3 linked regions of the Callithrix jacchus genome follow. The main gene of each other region encodes a partner of the protein of the gene in region 2 in a complex. Links are inferred from orthologs where the notes say so. Each region holds a gene or a part of one and is shown on either strand. Other genes may lie near its edges.

Region 1 (5,186 bases), on a different chromosome or scaffold from region 2:
CAAACTCCTGTGCTCAAGACATCCTCCTACCTCTGCCTCCCAGGTTGCTGGGACTACAGGCACACACCACCACGCCCAGCTAATTTTTTGTATTTTTAATAGAGACAGGGTTTGGCCATGTTGCCTATGCTGGTCTTGAACTCCTGGATTCAAGCCATCTGCCTGCCTCGACCTCCCAAAGTGTTGCAATTACAGGTGTGAGCCACTGCGACCAGCCTAGACTTTGTTTTTTCGAGACAGAGTCTTGCTCTGTCTCCCAGAGTGGCACAGTCCTGACTTACTGCAGCTTCACTCTCCTGGGCTCAAGTGATCCTGCCACCTCAGCCTCCTGAGTAGCTGGGACTACAAGTGTGCACCACCATGCCTGGCTAATTTTTGTACTTTTGAGGGTTGTTTTTGGTTTTTTTTGGTAGAAACAGGGTTTCACCAAGGTGCCCAGGCTGGTCTTGAACTCCTGGGCTCAAGCAATTCGTCCACCTCGGCTTCCCAAAGTACTGGTATTATAGGTGTGAGCCACTGTACTCAGCCTGGACTTCTTAAAGGCTTACTTTTTTCTTGTCCTTAAACAAAAAATCAGAGAAACGCAATTTGGGACATTAATCCACCTTCCTCAGTCATCTGAATTGGTTTAAGATTATTTATTGACAGTCCTTCAAAAGGTCTTACATGTGTAATAATTGAATCAAAAATCCCACTGAGCCACTTACATTGTTCAACTAAGCACGGTTAAAGAACTAGAAATGCCTGGCTCAGAGAGTGTTTGATGTTTGGTTGTATAAGATAGGATCAGAGAGAAAGATAAAGGTATAAGTTGGTGGGAAAGAGGCATATATGGGAAGATCAATAGGCTGGCTGGATAGATGGATGGGATGAGAGGATAGAATAGTGTAGGAAGAAAGGATAGCTAGAGATTAAACTAAGGACACACCTTGAGTAGAGAGAATTGAGCTCTTAGTCCAAGTAACAGAATTAACTTCAGTTTTATACATATATTTTACATAATTAATGCTATCCCAATATTGAAAGCAATCAGTAAAAAAGAGTAAGTAACATCACATATAAAATGCCATGTGATCAGCATTAAATACAGAACCAATTGTATTAGTGAGGGGCCGCTGTATCAGTGAGGTGTGAAATTTTGTTTGCTTGGCTTAGCATTTGTTTACTTTCTTGGTCCTTGACCAAGATAGAAATGTAGAAAAGAGATATTTAGAGTTCAGATTCATTTAATTGCAAACTGATTTCGAATGAACTGAAGGGTAAACAATTCGAAGAATTACTCCTTTTTCAACATTACTTTGAGACCAGGTAAGTTTAATAAACAGCTTAATTTAAACCTACTGCTGCTGCTCCTCACCCCACCCTTATCCTCTAATCTGAGGGTGTGCCCAAATCATTTAATTTAAAAAAGGAAGGGCAGCTTTTATAGCAAATAGTAAACTTTTCTGTTACATTATGAAATTGATACTGTAATTTTCTGGCATTCTTTTAAAAAACAAAGAGCGTAATGGTAACAGTATTTTCATTGTGTTTTGACTTTTTTCTCAAATATAGTTCTATAAACTTACACAAATAGTAGTCCTTACTAATGTAAAGAGTGCATTTTCCCACATTAGTATTGTGGCTTTTAAAAAAGAAACTGACTCAAAATGTTAAAAATCGTTAGTCTGTAACCTCCTTTGTGCATATATGATCAAAGTTGGGGATCCTTATATATGCATATGTACAAATATGTTGGGTGAATTCACAGAAGTAACCTGGCTAAGGGTTTTGGTAAGAGTTTTTACTCTGGGTATTTCAAACCAAGAAAATAGTTACAAGTGATATGTTCAATTAAAAACATCTTACTTCCTGGAGTGTTTAACATTTTTATCTTGGAGCCTACTTTTGCAAAGAACTCTAGCAGCTGATGTGTGTGATGGCAGTCTAATAAAGTTGTAAGATAAAGGAGGATTTATTTTGTTTTGTTTAGACAGAGTCTCACTCTGTTGCCCAGGCTGGAGTGCGGTGGCACAATCTCAGTTCACTGCAAAATCCACCTCCCAGGTTCAAGCTGTTCTTGTGCCTTGGCCTCTCTAGGAGCTGGGACTACAGGTGTACACCCCACACTCAGCTAATTTTTGTATTTTTAGTAGAGATGGAGTTTCACCATGTTGACCAGGATGGTAATGAACTCCTGGCCTCAAGTGATCCTCCTGGCCTCCCAAAATGTTGTGATTATAGGCATAAGCCACTGTGCCTGGCCTTACAGGAGGTTTTATTCACCATTAAGTAATTGAGATTATTTCATTTGTTTTATTTTAGAGTTTAAGCAAAAAGTTGTTTGAAAAAAAGTTTCTCAGGGAGAAATAAAACTACCCTGATCCTCATTAACTCATTTTCTAAAATATCACTGTAAAACTAGGCATTATAACCAAAATGAAAAGATAAGGCCTTATGATCCTATCATTTTTTGACTATTTGAGCTTGGAGTCCCCTGGACTCCAGTAAATTCCTTAATTTGTGGCAAAGTAAGGTTGGATAAGGGCTGCTTTCTTTTTTTTTAAGAGACAGAATCTTGTCACCCAGAGGCTGGAAAGCAGTGGCACAGTTATAAGTCAATGTAGCCTAGAACTTCTGGCCTCAAGTGAGCCTCCTGCCTCAGCTTCCCAAGTAGCTTGGACTATAGATGCATGCCACCATGGCTAGGTAATTTTTAATATTTCTGTAAAAACCGGGGTCTCATTATGTTTACCACGCTGGTCTCAAACTCCTGGGCTTAAGTCATCCTCCCACCTCAGCCTTCCAAATGGCTAGGATTACAGGCATGAGACACTGTACCTGAATCTTCTCCCTTAGCAAAGGAACAGTTTTGGTATTTTGATATTGGTCAAATAAAAATCAATCAATAAATTGAAATAATTGTGTCTAAAATCTCACAACATAAAAATTTGTTTTCATTGAAAATTTTTATTTTTTAAGTAGCTCATTTCATTATAATACCATTTAAAGTATTGGCTGGAAATCATCAATAGTATTTGTAAATAGGTTTTTACAGGTGTAGAAATGTTTCTCCCTACTTGGTCTCAGGTTCTCTTGATATGAATAGGAACTAGATAGGAAGATAATTTGATTTTGCTACCATGCATTCACAATCTGGGACAATCATAGCCCTCTGGTTTTGAAACTTACTGATCAAATTATCTAGCTCAGAGAGAAAACTGCTGTGTAAGGCTTCCTGCTGAATGATTTTTGATCAGTTATCCTTATGCTGCAAGGAAATCCAGAATTTACACATATTTGTGAAAATGAGTATTTTAAACTTAGAATAGTTAACTGTGTAATGTTTTGTATATAGGTAGCAAATCTGGGAAAGCTGAACTAGAATTAGCAAATCCATAAACATGGTTTACTACAGGTTCAGTCAGGTGTGTTTAGATATCTTGATATGCAAATAATTAAAGATAATGCTATTAACTATGTGCTTATATAAATATTCTTGTTTACTTATAGCCAATAGGATTAGTACAGGTTCCATTGTATTTATTCTGATATACTAGATTTCACTAAACCAAGCAGGCCAATTCTAAAGATGACTAGACATAATTTAATGAGTTTAGCTTCTCAAATTATCACTTATGCAGGATTGGAAGGATTTATGATTCCAATAGGGTGTTGTTTTCCTATTGAGCCACCTTTATTTCATGAAATACCCCTTGAAGATTTGAGCCTTATTTGACCCACTGTCAAGACAACAGGTACCAGAAGAAAGGGTATTCAGTTTTTTGGTTTTTATAAATTATGGATTGTTATAAACATTTTGAATTTGTCTTTTTTTTTTTTTTCCTACCCCAATCTCTTTCCAGGGCGTGATTGACTACATTTTCTATTCCAAGACTCATATGAACGTGCTTGGTGTCCTGGGGCCTTTAGATCCTCAATGGCTGGTTGAGAACAACATCACTGGGTGTCCACACCCTCACATCCCTTCAGACCACTTCTCACTGTTAACACAACTTGAACTCCACCCTCCACTCCTGCCTCTTGTCAATGGTGTTCACTTGCCTAATCGGAGGTAGTGGAGTACTGCCCCGCCAAGACGGGGATCTGTTGCTATGGACCTGTACAGTTGTAAATCAAAGTATATGGAGTGAAGTATGGCCATCCTTAAGCTGCTTCTTCAGGTTTCTTTCATTATGTGTTTGCTGTAAGACTTTGTACATTTTTGTGCATGTTGGTATCATTTGGCAGTAGGGCTGGAACCAAAGTATTACTCTCTTTCCAAAATTTTAATTTAACATGTTTTTAAATTGGACCTTCTTTATATTGTATTAAGAGCCAGCATTCAGAATTGATAAATTACCAATTTGAGTCCCAACAACAGTGTATGTTTTTCCAAAACAAATACTTTCTTTTGGATGGTTTCAGTGAGCCAACCATTTTTATAAAGGCAATTTTTTAAAACTATAAATATAAGGTTTTAAACTGAATGATGATATGCCTTCCAGGGAAAACCTTCTTGAATTTTTCCTTTATAACAAACTGATTTTTGGATTCCCAAGTCATTTGCACATTAACAGAGCACTTAAATTTGCTTACTCTCTGCATAACTATTATATAGCTTCTATGCATTATAAGAAAATTTGAAATATTAAAGATGGTTGCACAGTATGCTTTCATAAGTATGTAACACCACGTGACAATTTGTTGCCAAATGCTGGTTGGTTGGGGTTTTTTGTAAGGAATCACTTTTGGTTTTTTGTCCCCTCTATTAGTTACAACCTTATTAGAAGTATTAATTCTAAGCCTGTCTCTCAAGTTTATTTATAGAGAAAGGGTAAGTATTCTATATTGCCACACATCTTGAAAATAGAATGCGGTACATTTAGGACGCCCACAGAATGAATTTTTTCTTACTCCACTTCAACCTTCTTTTCTTTCTGTATGGTTGTACTGGAAAAACATGTTATATGACCTGTATCATTTTTGCCATTATAGCCAGACGTTAAAAAGAAGAAAAAAATCTGCTGAATAAAAAGGCCTTGATCAAAGTTTCAGATGGGGAAAACCATACAGATACTTTATGTGTTTCCAATGTAGGTTATGTGGCTGTTGGTTTTTTGAGATGACAGTGCAAAGGATTTGGGGGAGAGAGAGCAAATTTGGGGCAGATGAAAGCCTTGGGTCATTTTCCAGACTCTAGCTGC
Region 2 (5,186 bases):
GTCTTTTAAAAAGCAAAGTATAATTAAATAAAGTCTTTCAAAGACATCATTCATCTCTTCCTCTAATGGTATACTCAAATCATAAACTACGGAAGTACTATGTATGAAAACTAGCAAACATCTCTTTAACCCCTTTAGCTCTTGTACTTCTCTGAAACTGTTCAGCAGGAGGAAAGCCTCAACATTTGTATCACCTATGGCAGGCATGCAAGGTAAAGCCTCCAGGTACCATACCTTCCCAATATTTATACACATCCAAAAAGCACAGCGTGAGCAGGGGATGGGTAGCAAATGGAAGATACAAGTATCTGGTAATTCTGATACAATCCATCTTTCCCCTATCTCCTATTGATCCTTCCCAAACCGAAATTCAAATTGCTTTGACCAATTGCCATTTGGAGATAATCTAAGCAGAGACATCAATGTAAACTGGCCTATTTTCATAGCTACCACGGGCAATCATGTGTCCGAAATAGCCTGGTAATCCATAAACTCTGTATCATTTACTGAAACCAAAGTAGAACCCTCAGGCATTGAAGGAAACTCAGCTTAATGCAGTTCTTCCTACATTGTGACCTCTGATCAGCAGGCTACACAACACTATTCTTACGCCAGCAGATGGCATGGCTCCCGACCCCTGCAGCAGCTAGCAGGCCACTGTTCCAACATACATGACTTTCTGACTGGCTTCAACTCTTTAATGTTGCCATACTTACCAAGAATGAGAATGTTAACAAATGACTTTTTAAATTTTCATTTTCATTTTTTTGAGACATTGTCTCACTCTGTTGCCCAGGGTGGAGTGCAGTGGCTCTATCTGGTCTAGTTTCAACCTATACCTCCTGGGCTCAAACTATCTTCCCACTTCAGCCTCTTGATTAGCTGGGACTACAGGCACTCACCGCCACACCAAGATAATTTTTTGTAGAGATGGAAGTCTCGGTCTCACTATGTTGCCTAGATTGGTCTTGAACTCCTGAGCTCAAGTGATCTACTCACCTTGGCCCCCCAAAGTACTTGTATTACAGGCGTGAGTCATTGTGCCCAGCCAACGAACGAGTTTTTGAAACTAAATTTTTTTCCCAGTGGTTAAAGAAGACCATCTATATATTCAATGATAGTTAAAAAGAGAATGATGATGGCCAGGTGCTGTGGCTCACACCTGTAATCCCAGCACTTTGAGAGTGGAAAGTGGAGGCCAAGGTAGGTGGATCATCTGAGTTTAAAACCAGCCTGGGGAACATGGTGAAACCCTGTCTCTACTAAAAATACAAAATTAGCCAGGCATGGTGACACATGCCTGTAGTCCCAGCTATTTGGGAGGCTGAGTGAGGTAGGCGAATCGCTTGAACCTGGGAGGCGGAGGTTCCAGTGAGCCAAGATTGCGCTATTGCACTCCAGCCTAGGCAACAAGAGAAACTCCATCTCAAAAAGAAATAAATAAAATACAAATAAATAAATAAAAGAGAATGATGTCTTATGTATGTTTCAAAGTTTCTTTTTTTTTACATTCCACGTAGTAAGTGGAGGTAAGATAGGGTCCAAAAAGATACCAAGCAGCACTCACCCCCTTATTGGCAGCAATGCAGCATTCAGCCAGCCGTAGCCAGAGGCGAGGATTTGCATGATAAACCTGAACAGCTTCAATCAGGCATTCGAAGGCAGCAAGAGGCCTTCCAATGTGAAGAAGCTGAATTCCACAGTTATACAGCAGCTCATATCTCTTATTGGTTAGTAATGTACACATGGGTCTTCCTGAAAATTTTTTGCCTAGTGATAAAAATTAGATAAGAATAAATCATTAGTAACAGTTACCTTGAAAACATTCATTCCATTAAGTACTTAGACACTACCATGTTTGACACCAATAATCCTAATCTGATTATAGCTGTTACCAATGGTGGATTCCATCCTCAACCCCACAAATATTTTCCAGTCATCTCAGTTATTTATGCTGGCAGAGCCAGAGATGTCTCTTCTTATTCACCAGCTACTCAGGTAACAATGCTCCAGGAAGGCAAAGGTAAGAGATAGGACCCACTCTCACTCCTTTGAATCTTATACTGCTTTTCTACATTTTTACTTTATTCTCTTTTATTGTTTAATTTTTACTTTTATTTTTGTAGCAATGGGGTCTCTGTATGTCGCTCAGGCTAGTCTTGAACTCCTGGACTCAAGTGATCCACTTTGGCCTCCCCTAAATATTGGGATTACAGGCATAAGCCATCTCTCCCAGCTAACATATTTAGAGTCTGTAAGAAGTTTCCACTTTTTAAAATTTTCGGCAGGGAATGGTGGCTCATGCCTGCAAACCCAGAACTTTGGGAGGCCGAGGTGGGCAGATTACAAGGTCAGAAGTTCAAGACCAGCCTGGCCAACATAGTGAACCAAATCTCTACTAAAAATACAAAAATTAAGTGGGCATGGTGGCACATGCCTGTAGTCCCAGATCCTCAGGAGGCTGAGGCAGGAGAATCACTTGAACCCAGGAGGTAGAAGCTACAGTGAGCCAAGATCGTGCCACTGCACTCCAGCTTGGGCAACACAATGAGACTTGGTCTCAAAAAAAAATTTTTTTTCCTTCATTTTGGTTAACAATTTTATTATCATGTGTTATCACCTATTTATTCAGTGTTACAGTCTATTTTGATTTAGAATACCTTTGTCATTAAATAGGTTATTTTTAAAAGCTAAATAATTGCTTGATATTAGGCATTTCGGATCAAGGATCCCCATGATAATGAATATTAAAGGATAAACATTAAGAATTTGCTTAAAGACTGTCAGATGCTAACCAACAGTATCACATGCAAAACTCTGCAAAGAATCTATAATAAACTGGGCACAGTGGCTCACACCTGTAATTCCCGCACTTTGGAAGGCGGAGGTAGGAGGATCCCTTGAGCCCAGGAGTTCCAGACCAGCCTAGGTAACATGCAAAACCCTGTCTTTACAAAAAACACAAAAATTAGCCAGGTGCAGTGGCACATATCTATAGTCCCAGCTACTCAGGAGGCTGCGGTGGGAGGGACACTTGAGCCCAGAAGGCAGAAGTTAAAATGAGCTGAAATTGCACCACTGCACTCCAGCCTGGGTGACAGAGCTAGACTCTGTCTCAAAAAAAAAAATATATATATATATTTATATATATATTTTATTATATATATTTTTATTATATATGTATATTATATATATTTTAATATATATATATATAAAATAAACCTAGTTTGGCACAGCCATGTTGTGACTAATCAAACATTCTGGTATATAATATTACCACAGGGAATCAGTCATTTTCAAATTCATGAAAAATGGAATGCAACTTAAATCTCTAGATAATTCAGAATTACTCTTAACACCTTGTAATTGCTATTCAAAGCAGCAATATCTACTAAAAATCCCCAGAGCCAAGCTTGTTGGGTAAGATCAGAGTTAACTGTTTATAAGTCTACAAGGTGGGTACTTGTACCACATTCATGCTTTTTAAATCACGCTTTTCTGAAGTAATAAATACAAACTGTCCCCCAGTACTGGGCTTACCTGCATCAGTGCTGCCTGCACTCAGCTGTGCACAGACATTGTCATTCTCCTGCAGAGCCTTTTTAAAGTAGAATAATCCCAAATTGTGCTTGCTCATGGCAAAATGGATGCACCCAAGGTTGTTCCAGAACATGCATCTCAAGCATTCACCTGAGAAAAACACAACAAAATGTGTCCACAGAAATATTTTAATGTTGATGTTCCTCAGACAAGAATTGGGCTTATCTTTGTTGGGTTAACCCTGTTACCATTCCACTTACTACCTAAAGAACGGTTGACAAGGCATTTGAAATTTAGGAAACATCTGAAAAATTTAAAAACTCCTTTTAAAATCTCTTTTATTAAAGGTGAGAAAAATTATTTTTAAAAACCAATCCTATTTTGTTAGCCTAATTTTGTTCTATATTTTTTCCTTTTTAAAAATAATTTTTTAAACAGACAGGGTCTTACTATATTTCCTAGCCTGGTCTTGAACTCCTGGGCTCAAACAATCCTTCTGCCTTCACTTCCCAAAGTTCTGGGATTACAGGCATGTGCTACCATGCCCAGCTAATTTTTAATAACTGTAGACAAATGATACAAAAATGCAAAAACAAAAAATATTTCTCAGTAATGTTTATGCATTGTATCTACCAATGAAATATTACGTAGAAATTAGAAACAAGGAAGCAAGTATATGTGGAAACTGCCAAAGTATATTAAATGAATAGCAAGAATATACAGAAAAGGACGGAGTGAGGCCGGGCACTGTGGCTCATGCCTGTAATACCAGCACTTTGGGAGGCCCAGGCGGGTGAATCACTTGAGGTCAAGAGTTTGAGACTAGCTCGGCCAAGTGGACTGTGAGGAGAAACTACAACAATGAAAACAAAAAACTAAAATTGAGCAGAATTAGAAATGGGTATTTAGAAAAGAAAGAATACCCTCAATAGAATTATAAGGAACAAAGTGCCCTTCTCCATCCTCCATCACTCCAGTGAACTGAAAGGGTAAATGGGGGAAGGTCTGAGTGTGTTTGCAGGTATACTCGTGTGTGTATCTAAATAGAATCCAAAACAAACCAAAAACCATGTAGTTTGCATTTTAAACTTGAGACAAAACATACATTTTCAATAGTTTATCCTCATTTCTTGAATAAATGATTTTCCTTCTCCTGCTCCATAAAATAGTAATGATATAAACCTAAATGACATTCACAATTTTTACTTTCATGTTACCATTAATATTAAGGGATTTGTAAGACTTTCTAAATAGAGGTAAGAATATGTAATAACACTTATCTTCATAGCTTTATAGAAAGATTTTTTGATATAGTTAATGATCTAAAGAAGTCCTATTCATTGGGCAAGTTACTGAAAAAAATCGTATTATTAACTGCCTTTATGGCAGAAAAAAGTTAAGAACATTATATTATTTACTTAAAAGGTCACAAAGCAAAAGTCCAAGGACCTTATAAAAACAAATGAAAGAGCCAGGTGCAGTGGCTCATACCTGTAATCCCAGCACTTTAAGACACTGAGGTGGGCAGATGACTTGAGGTGAGGAGTTTGAGACTGGCCTGGCCAACATGATGAAACCCAGACTGTACCAAAAAAACAGAAAAATCAGCTGAGTGTGGTGGTACATGCCTGTAGTCCCAGCTACTT
Region 3 (5,186 bases), on a different chromosome or scaffold from region 2:
GGCAGTGCTTGGTGAGAACAAATTTAGGCAGGCACAGTGGAGATAGGACAGGAAGTATCTCAAAAAGGAGTTAAGCTGTACCTAAGCAGCTGTAGTTTTTTAACTTAAAAAAGTTAAAGACTTAAAAATATCAGAATGTACATATATCAACCATTACATTCAGTCCATAAATGCCTACAGATCATCACTGTTCAGCTTATCTGTCCTGGTAGATGTTTTCGTAAAAATTCATGAATAAGTTGCCTCGGGTCTGAAAACATCCTAAGGTTTAAGCAGATTTATATTTAAAGAACCATGTTCTCAATTTAAAAATAAAGTAGTACAAAAGGGCTAACAAAACCCTAAGAGTGCAAATCATGAGCAGAGAAAGTCTGTTGCAGCTTCTTTTACAAGCTGGCCTTTATAACACATGAAACAGGTTTAAAAAAAAATTTAGCCTTAGTTTACAATACAATCATTTCCAAATGATTTTTTTTTTAGTACAAAATTTCATAAATCAGGTCTTCTGTGGATCATATACAATCATAAAGGCTAAATTCAAATTCTATATTTTACAAACAAGTCTGAAAAAGGAGGGAGTAAAGTATGGAAGAATGGTCTCTGGATGTTACTACTGGCCTCAAAAAAGTAGTGCTACAGATTTCTGTGCAAAGAGAATATGCTCTTCAAACATTTTCCTATTTCAAGGCATGAAAATATTATATTGGATAGAGGAAATAGGAAAATTTCTTATAACAAATTAAAGATAGGTGCAAACACACCAATCCCTGTCTAGCAGTATAAAGCATATTGGGCTCAGAATTTGTCTGTTGCTAGCACCTGGCTTTCATACTATATCCTTATCAAATAATCAGATTGAAAATTCAAATCATTCTTAAGCAAACAAAAACCCTCAGTGGCCATACCTCACTCCCCTATGTTCAGATTTTCCCAAGTTTACAAGTGAATCGAGGCTGTCCTCTGAAGGTGCTTGACTACCTCCTGCCAGGAAGGTGGATGCCATTGACTTGGGGCAGGAACGGCAGTAAGAGCTCCAGTTGTGCAAAAAGTGAGAAGTGGTCAGAGGGGATGAGGGGGTGTGGGCAGCCACTGATGTTATTCTCAACCAGCCAGTGGTGGTCCAGAGGGCCCAGAATGCCTAAGGTGTTCAGCTGAGGTTGAGAATAGAAAATGTAGTCGATTATACCCTGAAAAACAACAGAAAGAAAGATATAAGCACCACATAAGACAACAGGAAAATTCTGAGTGCTTTCAAGACATGTCTTTACAGTCATGTTTGGTGAACAGAACTAAACAAGTGAAACTTATTAGCTTGTAGGATGAGATCTGTACTACATACACCAAATGGTTCCTCCCACAAAATGTCAAATCCAGCAGAATGAAGCATTCTCCCTACCTGGATCTTTAACAAGATCTAAGACCCTTCAGGATGTAGCCTCTGCTTCTCTTTCCTAACCTAATTTGCACCACTTTCCCTGCCACACTAGCCTTTGGAGTGAGAAAGGGGTGAGGGTGGGAGGGGAAACTATGGGTACCAAGCTCTTTCCTGCCTCCCGACCTTCACTCACTCACTCACACATACACACACACACTCTCTCTCTCTCCATTCTGCCTGGAACACTTGTTATGATATCAATTCCTTCTTAATATTAGGTACCAAGCTCTTTCCTGCCTCAGGACTTACACACACACACACACACACATACACACACACACACACACTCAGTCACTCTCCAATCTGCCTGTAACACTTGCTATGAGGTTAATTCCTTCTTAATCTTTCAGTGTCAGGTTCAACTGCTTTCCAAAGACCTTCCTGAATCCTGCTCCCACCTACTTACTACTTCTCACTATTGATTCACTTCCCTTGCTAATGGCCATCTCAAGGTGTCATTTTTGAGACTTGTCTCTCTCATCACATCTCAGCTACATGAGGGCAGGGCTGTCTCTACCTGTCCCTTCTCTCTCAGCAGCACCCCAGCATGGCATCTAACAAACTGTTCCCATCTGATGGTTCTGCTCCTCTCCTCTACATGCTCTTGCCCAAATGCACTCTGAAGCACATTTAAGTGTCTTCTTCGTGCCTCCATCAGCAACATAAAGAGAAAAAAACCCTAAGCTTTCCCACCCTTTGGCTATCACCCATGCCTTCTCTTCAATGCCTCCTTAAGAATTTGAAAGGAAGGGGCACTTGAGGATAAACAGGGGCTTTACTTACTATACTCTAAAGTGTAAGAGCTCCAGAGATACTATCTAAAAACTCTTATTTACACTCTGACAATCTAATGTAAATTATTACTTTGCCAGCAGCTTAGAAATAGAAAGCTAGGAGTTAAGAAAGCAGAAATGCAAAAAGTAGTTTAAAAGGCAGTTGAGCCAGTTGCAGTAGCTCCTGCCTATAATCCCAGCTCCTGGCTATAATCTTAGCCTCCTTTGGAGGGCTAAGGCAGGAGGATTGCTTAAGGCCAGGGATTCGAGATCAGGCTGGATAATATAGGAGGACCCTGTCTTAAAAAAAAAACAAAATTACAAAAAAAAATTAGCTGGGCACAGTGGCACACACCTGTAGTCCTAGTTAGTGGGGAGGCTGAGGCAGGAGGATTGCCTCAGCCCAATTCAAGGCTGCAGTGTGTTATGATCATGTCACTGTACTTCAGCCTGGATGACAGACTGAAACGACATCTCTTTTTCTCTTTTTTTTAAAAAAGGACAGTTAAACCTATCTACAGCAACAATGGAGAAGCCCCCGTTCCGGCCAAAAAAAAAGGATAGTTAAACACAAGAAAGTGACATAGCACTAAATAAAAAAAATGATTAGAGTCTGGCAAGGTGCAGTGGCTCATGCCTATAATCCCAGCACTTTGGGAGGCCAAGATGGGTAAATCACTTGAGGCCAGAAGTTCGACACCAGCCTGCCCAACATGATGAAACTCTGTCTCTACTAAAAATACAAAAATCAGCTGGGTGTGGTGGGGTGCACACATAATCCCAGCAACTCAGGAGGCTGAGGCATGAGAAATCACTGGAATATGGGAGGGGGAGGTTGCAGTGAGCCAAGATTGTGCCACTGAACTCCAGGCTGGGCAACAGAGCAAGACTGTCTCTGGGGGCAAAAAAAGATGTATCTTAGAAACATTTAAAAACAGCTAATAACCACATTTTGACATTCAAAATAATTTAGTTTCAGTTAAATTACAATGTAAGAAAAGGAACACCTTACCCCAACTGCCACCCAAATTAGATAGCATGGTTCAGCATATCTAGCTGTTAATAATGAGAATATAAGAAATGTAATTGTCACCAAAAGGTGAAAAGTCAGCTTAGGAATTTTACAGATTATTTGATCTAACTTCTTATCCTGGAAAATATTGGAATAAATATCTACAAAGTAAGGTTGTGACACTAATCACATGAAATTCTAAAAACAGTAATAAAAAAATATTACTGGCTGAGTGCAGTGGTTCACGCCTGTAATCTCAGAACTCTGGGAGGCTGAGGTGGAAGAATCATTTAAGGCCAGGAGCTCAAGACCAACCTGGGCATAGTGAGACTCCATCTCTACATAAAATACAAGAATTAGCCAGGCGTGGTGGTGTGTGCCTATAGTCCCAGCTACTAGGGAGGCCGAGGTGAGGGGATCATTTCAGCCTTCATGCCGTGATTATGCAACTGCACTCCAGCCTGGCTGACAAAGTGAGACCTTGTCTCAAACATAAAACAAACAATATTGTTGTCAATGAATTCAAGACTGCTTCATTCCAGTCTGAACACACAACCACATTTTTAAAAACATAATAATGCATCAGAAAACTTGCCAGTAAAATAGAGATTTGAAAAACTTATCAGTCTCAAGACACACCTTGAAATCAAATGTGTAATTCGTGTAAGGCATCAGACCACTCTCGTAGGCACTCTTTAACTTGAAACCATGAGTGATCCTTCCATTGGTGGTTCCATTCTTCCCATGACAGCTGAAGTTTGTGAGACTTTCATTATACCTCAGCTCCTTAAAGTCTTTGTGATTTGTTTCTACTCCACCCGTGCTCAAATATTCTACAACACCTACAATGAAGACAAATTTTTTATTGTCAAATATAAACAAAAAGTAATTTTAAAAGATCATGTAATAGTAAAAAGTTTTAAACCACACTATTCCCAGGTTCCAAAACATTACTTTTTATATTTGCCAGGACTTGTCCAAATCTATTTTTACACAATTGTAATCACAGAATATTGAACAGTTTACACTTCGCTTTATAAACATGTGTCTTCCCAAATATCATTCTTTAATGGCTGCACAATGCAGTTGGGCTGGTGGATAATATTTACTACTAATTTTGTAAAATACAGGGTAGTTTCCACTTTTTAAAAAGAATTAAAGGTAATACCACAATCAACATCTTAGTGTGTAGATTTCTGCTTATGCTCAATTATTTACTTGGTATAAAATCCCAAGATTAGGACTGAATGTGCCACTTTATAATACTGCCAACTATGGAAGAGAATACCACCAACTAGTCACAGAGCAAACTTACCCATCCCTAGTGAATTATTTTCCCAATTTACTAAGCACAAGATGGGCTCTACAAATATATTTTAATTTGTATTTTATTCACCAATTAGCAAGGCTGGACATTTTCTGACCTGCCTGCTATTATAATACTGTATTTCACAATGCTGAAATGGGTCTTGCATGTTAATGTTTGACTAGATTTTCTCTTTATTCCTCAGATACTTTGTAGCTACAAAGAAAGTAGAAAGCATGTAGACAAACTGCCAGAGACTACTACTCAACTGCTTTGGTGGTAGTAGTAGTAATAACCGGATTAACTTGATGAGCTGGAATAAAGAATTACAGAAGATTTTAGATAGCTTTATTTTCCCTGAAATCAAATTTTAACTCAGTTTCTTTCTTCTCCTCCTCCTCCTTCTTTTTGAGATAGCCTCACTCTGTCAACCAGGTTGGAATGCAGTAGCTCAATCTTGGCTCACTGAAACTTTTGCTTCCAGGATTCAAGTCATTCTTGTGCCTCACCCTCCCAAGAAGCTGGGATTACAGGTGTGCACCACCATGTCTAATTTTTTATATTTTCAGTAGAGACATGGTTTCACCATGTTGGCCAGGCTGGTCTTGAACTCTTGGCCTCAAGTGATCTGCCCGCCTCAGCTTCCCAAAGTGCTGGGAT

What was found. The genes of interacting proteins can lie anywhere in the genome.
Region 1: CNOT10 (region 2) and CNOT6L share a complex: the UniProt entries of both Homo sapiens proteins name them as parts of the CCR4-NOT complex. The link is inferred for Callithrix jacchus from reciprocal best matches to the Homo sapiens genes CNOT10 and CNOT6L.
Region 3: CNOT10 (region 2) and CNOT6 share a complex: the UniProt entries of both Homo sapiens proteins name them as parts of the CCR4-NOT complex. The link is inferred for Callithrix jacchus from reciprocal best matches to the Homo sapiens genes CNOT10 and CNOT6.

Annotation. Positions count from the first base shown.
Region 1 is NC_133504.1:120,306,461-120,311,646, forward strand, and holds part of CNOT6L (CCR4-NOT transcription complex subunit 6-like), read left to right. Parts: intron 1-3,845; coding exon 3,846-4,058; 3' UTR 4,059-5,186. UniProt on the Homo sapiens protein: Has 3'-5' poly(A) exoribonuclease activity for synthetic poly(A) RNA substrate.
Region 2 is NC_133518.1:70,904,448-70,909,633, reverse strand, and holds part of CNOT10 (CCR4-NOT transcription complex subunit 10), read right to left. Parts: intron 3,691-5,186; coding exon 3,541-3,690; intron 2,024-3,540; coding exon of another isoform or gene 1,889-2,023; intron 1,771-1,888; coding exon 1,568-1,770; intron 1-1,567. Other genes in the region: small ribosomal subunit protein uS19-like, read left to right, coding at 1,889-2,023. UniProt on the Homo sapiens protein: Component of the CCR4-NOT complex which is one of the major cellular mRNA deadenylases and is linked to various cellular processes including bulk mRNA degradation, miRNA-mediated repression, translational repression during translational initiation and general transcription regulation.
Region 3 is NC_133503.1:72,314,867-72,320,052, reverse strand, and holds part of CNOT6 (CCR4-NOT transcription complex subunit 6), read right to left. Parts: intron 4,063-5,186; coding exon 3,860-4,062; intron 1,188-3,859; coding exon 975-1,187; 3' UTR 1-974. UniProt on the Homo sapiens protein: Poly(A) nuclease with 3'-5' RNase activity.